Oryzias latipes: one gene and its partner. The protein of the gene in region 1 purifies or fractionates together with the protein of each later gene. This does not show direct contact. Links are inferred from orthologs where the notes say so. Each region holds a gene or a part of one and is shown on either strand. Other genes may lie near its edges. The genes, in order: traf7 and map3k3.

Evidence for each region.
Region 2: the proteins of traf7 (region 1) and map3k3 purify together in Homo sapiens (affinity purification with mass spectrometry; 5 studies listed by BioGRID and IntAct, with this or other methods). This does not show direct contact. The link is inferred for Oryzias latipes from reciprocal best matches to the Homo sapiens genes TRAF7 and MAP3K3.

The regions. Positions count from the first base shown.
Region 1 is NC_019866.2:23,004,950-23,008,869, forward strand, and holds the start of traf7 (E3 ubiquitin-protein ligase TRAF7), read left to right. Parts: upstream 1-1,231; 5' UTR 1,232-1,342; intron 1,343-3,920. UniProt on the Homo sapiens protein: E3 ubiquitin and SUMO-protein ligase that plays a role in different biological processes such as innate immunity, inflammation or apoptosis. Potentiates MAP3K3-mediated activation of JUN/AP1 and DDIT3 transcriptional regulators.
Region 2 is NC_019866.2:4,128,449-4,132,268, reverse strand, and holds part of map3k3 (mitogen-activated protein kinase kinase kinase 3), read left to right. Parts: intron 1-253; coding exon 254-294; intron 295-662; coding exon 663-762; intron 763-1,917; coding exon 1,918-2,031; intron 2,032-2,191; coding exon 2,192-2,312; intron 2,313-2,971; coding exon 2,972-3,105; intron 3,106-3,820. UniProt on the Homo sapiens protein: Component of a protein kinase signal transduction cascade. Mediates activation of the NF-kappa-B, AP1 and DDIT3 transcriptional regulators.

The DNA of each region.
Region 1 (3,920 bases):
CTCTTTGTACTTTCAAAACTATGCAGTCAATAGGAAGTCCACTCAAATGTTGCTTTAGGGCTGAGCAGGGTGGTCCAGAGACAGACCGCTGTAGAGAAGTTTTGACAAAGGTTTTGGTAAAAACCGACAATTTCAAGAACCTGGTGCTACTCAAGCCTTGAGGTCAGAGCGGAAAAGTTTAATATAGCCTTGACCAGACGTTCTTTACCTTGGCCTACTTGGTAGTAAGTAAAACACTTGGTGGCTATTCCCAAATTCACATCATGTAAGGAATGCTTAAGACTTGCTTTGTTCATTAGAGATTCTCCTCTGATTGGGGGCGGGACTGTTGGTGCAGAACATCCCTGCTCCCCTTCCCATTATCCATAACTGAAAACGCTCACTCTCACTCATTTACTTTTCTAAAGTTTGTAAATAAATATGTACTACCGTCTGACTTTATCTGTATCAAGCAGGGTGAGCTTAGACCAGGGTCTCCTGTTTCATCAGATATCATCATATTATCATTAGATAACACTGGCTTTGTTCTGAGTTTGTTCCAGTTACCTTTATGTCATGTTAGGACAATGGTGGGATTTGGTACATTCATGAAAAGACATTGTAAGTATGCAATACATGAGAAAATAGGACTCCTCTGCTCCTCCTGTAGATGAGTAAGATACACTTTCATCTACAGTTTTTTTTTTTTAACATTTCAAAGCAAATTAAACTGGGGAGGTCAAAGGGAGTCTTTATATGGTCACACCTTGTGCTGCGTGTCCCTGTCTGTTCTGTGTCCCACTTTTTCCTAACTAGCCTTTTTCCCTTCAAACTCGCCCGAACTTTTTCATTCAAGTTTTCCTAAATAACATTTTTGGTTAATTGCAAAAATAAAAATGGGACCCAAAAAAAGTTAATTTTGTAATAACATAGTGGCAACACTTGATCTTCCAGCTCCTCCGCGACGTTGGTTAGTTCCAGCATTAGCCTCAGCAAGAACCACCCCTCTAAAAAAATTAAACTAAAAACACGTAACATTACAAGTGCTGAGCTTTCGAAGTAAAACTTGTTGAGTTCTTCTGACAAATTCTAGTTCTTCTGATCTGTCAGCTCGCCTTCAGCAAGAGCTAACAACAACGTAATAAAAGTATTTGGCAATACTATTCTGTGCAGTTTTTACTTTGGAATTTACCTTTCACAAGTGGACTTTGGGGAGTGTAGTCCATAACTAAACATAAGAGCAGTGACATCACCTTGTACGTACTACACATCCCAGAATACACTGCTTCCTCAATGGTTGGTAACGAGAGGAAAAGAGGAAGAATTCATCCACAGACATGGAGTAATGCAGGCGAAACAAAATGTAAGTTTTTGACCCTTTTCCCCGTCGACCGTTTTAAAAAACTTGTTGATCCAGTTAGAAAACAGTCCAAATTATCCGGTTGTACTTAGCAGCGTTCGCTGAAGGCTGCTAGAAGGAGTGATGCTAATTAAGACAGGGAAATTAGCTAACTTAAGCTAGCAAATTCTTTAGATTGTTGAGAATAATGTTTGAAAAGACGACAATCATATAAACATAACCCAGCGAGGTGGTCTCATTTCCTTTTTTCCGCGCGGGTGAGTAGTTTTATGTGTTAAGTTTTAACATTTATTCGGACATATTCACCGGAAAGCAGCGAACTTTGGCTGCGTTCCGCCCCCTTTCTGCTGGCTCGAGCTTCTTCTCCTTTGCGGGCTTGTTGCGGCGGCACACGGAGGCGCTGTGCGGGGCAGAGGGCACCTCCTGCACCTCCAGTTTGTGGGACTAACTTCCCAAAAATGCGGTTCATTTGAATAAAACATTAAAATTCCCACTCTGACCTTCTTTTGATCTATTTTCAAAGGGTTCCCAGCAGTGTTTAATTTACGAATATGCCGTTGTTAGACTAAAACGTCAATGCCTGTGTCGTTTTGTTGGACATAGTTTCAGCAGAGCGGTTGGAGTTCATTAGAAATTCACCTCTGAGTTGTGGGCCAGACCATTTTGCAAAGCAACCCTGCCCCCCTTCCCTTCCCCGTTGCTGAGAGCTCTCCGTTCACATGCTTCCCCGCTAGCTTACAGCCCAGCACACCCCCCAACCTAACATCAGTAGTGCATTAGATCCATTTTTATTGTTAAAGTAGGTTTTTTTTGTTTAAAAAGATTCATGTTTGGGAAGTCTAGATTGTATTCTCCCAGCGCTCTGCTTCCTTGGGTTTCCATTGTTCGGAGTAAGGTCAGCCTGCCTGTTTCTCGCTGTAGACGAGATTTAAATCTACTGCCATGTCGCCTAGCCCTACAGTCCAGTTTTGTGCCAGATTCCTGCTTAGACGAGGAAAACAAGTGGATGCATCGGAATGGAGCGGAGCACAAATACAATCAAACTGCATTTTTTCCTTCTGCTCCTGACAATCATTTTAATTAATAAATACTACGAAACGCAGTTTGATGCTTATTTTTTTTAAGATTCTCATTAATTTTTCCTATACAGTAAAGCCTTCTTTTTCGCGGGGGTTACGTTCCAAAAAGAACCCGTGATAGGCAAAATCCGGCGTTTGGCACGCTGTTTTACGTACGTGTACATATTAAACTGCAACGTTATTGACGCACAGGTAGAGAAGTCGTGGAGGGACTTTTTAGCCAATCAGAATGCGGAACACAATGCACGATGCAAATCCATGAAGTAGCAAAACCGTGAAAAGTAAACCGCGTTATAGCGAGGGATCCCTGTATACTGTTTTTTTGCTGGATTATGTAAAGAAGTTTTGACAAAGGTTTTGGTAAAAGCCAACAATTTCAAGAACATGAGGCGCACTGAACTAAAAGAGGCATTAGAGGAGACAAAAGATTAAGAGATAAGTGTATCAGTCAGTCAGTCAGACTTTATTAAGTGCGTTCACAGTAACTCTAGAAGTTGTTAGCGTTAGCCACGTTAGCGTAATCCCAACACCATCCAAACATGTTGACAGAGCGGTATGTTCTTCTCAGAGCCACTTCTCCATCAGTAAACACAACCAGAATTAATCCACACATAAGGTGCTCTAGACCAGTGTTTTTCAACCAGTGTGCCGCGGCACACTAGTGTGTCGTGGGAGACGGTCAAGTGTGCCGTGGGAAATTACTCTCATTAACTGATCTAAAAACATTTTCCATCTCCAGGATATCAGCTCTGTGTTCATCCAAACAGGCCCTGATAAAACACTGAGAAATTAGGAATATGAAAGATCGTAAAACATTTTTTTCTTTGTGTTTATTTGATTGTATTAAAGACATTTTGATAAGATTGACGGTACCGCGATTTAGCCGCAGCTTCAGCTCTGTTTTTGGAAAAGTCCCGCCCCTTTAACTGTCTCCACCAATCATTCTTGGAGTCTTAATCACAAATCATCAGTCTGACCAATCAGAAGTGGTTAAAGTCTTCACTTCTTTGTTTCGATTTAGCTCATAAGTCTCTCAGTTCTAACAAAAATACCAGCTAAAGCTCGTCTTTAGCGGTGTAGCTTTCCACAGAATCCGGTGTCAGACCGTGGTAAAAGTGAACAAAACAATGAAGCTCAGAGACGCTTGTCTGTCTGCGGTCGGTCGATATTTTTGCACTACATCTCCCATGATGCATTGGGTTAAAGTGACAGTGTCTTAGCGCACAATGAGTCTCTCCTCTTAACGTCTTAAAACTACAACAAAGACACATCAAACAGTTTTTAAATCTTTTAACTCAACTTTTATTACATCTTTAAAAAAAACAGCTGCAGCTTCCAGCTTTTTCTGCCATAATTATCACAAAAATGCATGTGAGATTATGGAGGGACTGTAGATTAATCCAGACTATGAGCTTTTCCCAGTTTTTCTTTTTTCCTTTTTTTTTGGATGCTGTTGTGCCGCGGGATTTTTGTCAAGGTTAAAGTGTGCCGTGGCTCAAAAA
Region 2 (3,820 bases), about 19 Mb from region 1:
GTATTTCCTTTTTCTCTGTCCGGAACCAGCTCCCTCACCGAACCGTCTCCAAAAAGGCAAATGCTTGTTTCTTGAATTGTAAACCCCATTTCCCCTGAAACGGATCGTTTTCTCCACTCTTCACATAAACTCAGTCACCCCAGTTGTTTTGAGTGGAACTGGGATCTCCTAAATGGTCTTTTGTGAGAAGCATCTTTAGTAAAAGCGATATATTGTACAGGAATGTCCTCATCCTCTGATTTCTCTCCCTCAGGATGATGTGAGGATAAAGTTTGAGTTCTCAGGGGAGAGGAGGTGAGTTTATTTGAGTTTTGTTTACACGGATGATGCATCCAAATGCAGTCCATGCACTCCTGAGAGATGTAAACACACAGGCATGCCGTTCTGGTCACACGTTCCAGCTCATGAGAGCGAGCGCACACTCCTGCAGTGAAACCAGATCGGTATGCGAGCTGCAGAAGGAAGAGGGAAAGGACTGTGGTTAGCATGCGGCTGCCAGCGCACACCACAAATATTTAAGGTGTACTTGAAAGAATCTGAACCCACCGAAAAGTGCAGCATGTGTGTTTTGCTTGCACGTGTGCATGTAATTCAAATGGCGTTTCCTCAGCAGCTGGTACAAATCTGCCATAATCTGTGGGAATTCTGCTCTTTTCATGCAGGATCCTGATGTTTGAAAGGCCTGTGCAGTTTGAGGAAATTCAGCAAAAAGTCAAGAGCGTGTTTGGTCAGCTGCTGGACCTGTATTATGTGAACAATGAGGTAAAGTGCTTTTCAGCATGTTCTCCGGCACTTTGGATTGTCTTTCACTTCTCCAAGCGCTCCACGTTCCTGTAAATTTGTCGTGTTTGCAAATGAGGCTGTCTTTTAGAAAACCAGTTAATCCAAAAACGTGGATGCTTAAAGGGACAAATAAAGAGAAAAAGGACATAAAATAAGAAGATGAAAAAAATACCGGGGCAAAGGAGTTGAGATGATGCAAAAACTAGACTCATGGAAGCTTCTTTTATTTGAAACTGGGTTAATGTAAGCAACCGCTCCTCATTTATGTATTCCATATTTTATCTAATTTGATCTCATTGTTTATCAGAGTGTTTTGGTGTCAAATATATCAATTTGTTGTCTTCATTAGAAAACTTATTTGTGCTGCTAAAAAACACAGTCATTTCTTTAAAAAATGAATTTCCCCTTCTAAAAAATAGGTTTCAAAGTATCATTTATTTGCAAATTATCTTTAAAGACAAGTACATCTAAAGGTTGAACCAATTGGTTGTTTTTTGTGCATGTTTTAAACCTTCGTTTTTATTCAATTGTTTGTGCTTTGTTAAATTCTTAAAGTTTTTACATGTGAATAAAAGATTTTTCTCGCTAAAAGGGTTCCTAGCATCTAAATTCTGATCAATTTTAACAGCGTTCCCAGAGTTTTTTAATGAGTAAGGATCAGTGAACTAGTGAACGACTAGTGATTTATTAAAAAGGAAGGGGTCCGGAGCAACCCCACCCCCATTCCCCTCCCTGTTGCTGAGAGCTCTCTGTTTACACGCGCTCTTGCTGGCTTACAGCCCTTCACACCTCCACTCTAACATTACCGGTGCAACAAAAGTGTCGAGCATTATTGTAGCGATCCAGTTTTGAGCCAGTTGGCAGCTCAGATGAGGAAAACGACGGAGCTTGTGGCCCACCTGCTGTGTTTTTTACGTTTTCAATTGGCGTTTTTTTTTTAATCATCTGCTCCTTTTTCACACCAATTAGAATAAAGAAATACTCAGAAATACAAATTTGAGGTTAATTCTTTTTATATGTGTCCATCATCAGGAAAATGCCATAAAAACACAATTTTCTGCCTCGTTTTATGAATTTTGTGTACAGATGCTTGTTTGTTTTATGAGTTTGCCTCCTTGGGTTGTTTCTTTGCAGATGTCCATTCCTTTAAGAGGTCAGGACGACTTGGACAAGGCCGTCGACTTGCTGGACCGAAGTTCCAACATGAAAAGCATCAGGATCCTGCTGCTCACTCAGGAGCACAGACATGTAAGACAGACTGGCCGTACGGTTGCAACACGCCGTTGCACCAACACCGTTTCTTCAGCACAAAGCCGCATTGTGTAAAAACACCACGCCTCTAATTCCCATCATCGTGATACTGTTGAGTCACACATGGAAGCTGGTTTTATCCCTGCGTCCTCCACAGGCCACCTCTCCCTCCCATCATGCACCTTGCAAGCAGGTGAGGATCAAGTCCTCCCAGTCCACTGGAGATGTCAGCACGTTGTACCAATCCTCTGAACCTAGGGGGCGCCACTTATCAACCGGTACATTCTCTTGAATACCTGTTTACCATCAATTCAAAGGGACTAATGTTGGTTGAATTAATCAAAGTTGTAGTTGTTTTTATGTTCATTTTATCATTTTTATTGTCTGTGATGCAAATAAATTCTGGTTGCACTCTTTCTTTCCTTTATTGCATCAGATTTTCTTCCTTTTTTTCTTCACTGTTACACTAAATCGTAGCAAATAGTTTTTAGTGTTTGATTCTTTAAAACCAGAAGTGCTGTTTAAAAAAAACTCCAAACTTCATTTTCTCTATATTCTGAGACTTGATTCTTTTCAAACAAAGGCTTTCCAAAGCATTTAACTCTTGTCGGTCCTTTAAAAAAATGAAGAATATCACAGTCAATGAAATTCCCACTTTCAAGTGTCACCTACCAACGGAAAAGTAAAGATGGAATCTATTTTGATTATTACAACCCTTTAAATGATTTGAGTTTTAAGAAAAAACATTCAAATAATTAAATGAAGTTAATCAGACAAACCATTTTATTCAAGCTGTTTTAATGAAATAAATAATAATTCCTATTTAAATCCCCTAAAAGGTTTTCAGAATAAAGACTAAGTAATTGATTCAAATCTTTTTTTATTGGTCTCATATGTGTTTTGAGTGATACTCATAGTACCGTCTGTGATCCTTCAGGGTCTCAGAACACTGGGCGAAGTTCTCCACCTCCTGGATATGTGCCTGAACGCCAGCAGAGGATCGCCCGCCAAGGTTCATACACCAGCATAAACAGCGAGGGGGAGTTCATACCCGAGACCAGTGACCAGTGTGTAAGTCCCACTGTCCCTTGAAATGGAGTACAGTGGAAATTTCAGCCATTGAGGGTAGTTTTTAGAATGCAACTCCCACAATGACAATCGAGAGACGACTGTAAAATAGTTTTTGCTTTTATTGTGAAAGTTTGTTCATGGGAAAAAAATGTGTTGTTTTTTTTTCGTACCCTCGCTGACTGGCTGAGTGTCTGTTTCAGGCCCCTCACTCTCCCCCCTCTTTCCCCCTAGTCAGATTTGCATGTGACAAATGGGGAATAAACAACACATTTTTGCAAAAAATGGCGGCTTTTCTGTTGGTTTCATCTTCATAGCAACCATTTTAGTTTTTTGGCTGCCTGGGGATGACAAACGGGTCTATGTCATTTCTGCCAAAGTAAACGTTGGAATTTCTTTGACAACAGAGATATATTTATCAACCATGACCACATTCCCCATATAGTCATATTGTATGCTATATCGTTTCATTGAGCTGGAGCCAGCGAGTCACGATTAAAATTTTCACAATATTCTGGTTAGAAAAAGTGTGCGAGCAACAGGGGAGCGGCACTTTTGCGAGCTCGCCATCTGAACACTGTTCAAAATCTACAGCTTCTAATTACAACCCCCCCCCCCCAAGTATTTTCCCAATGATGATGGTTAGGAGGTGATAGAATGAAAGCCTTAGGAGGAGTTTACATTTGTAGGTGGTATTGAAAGTGACTTTTTTTTTTCT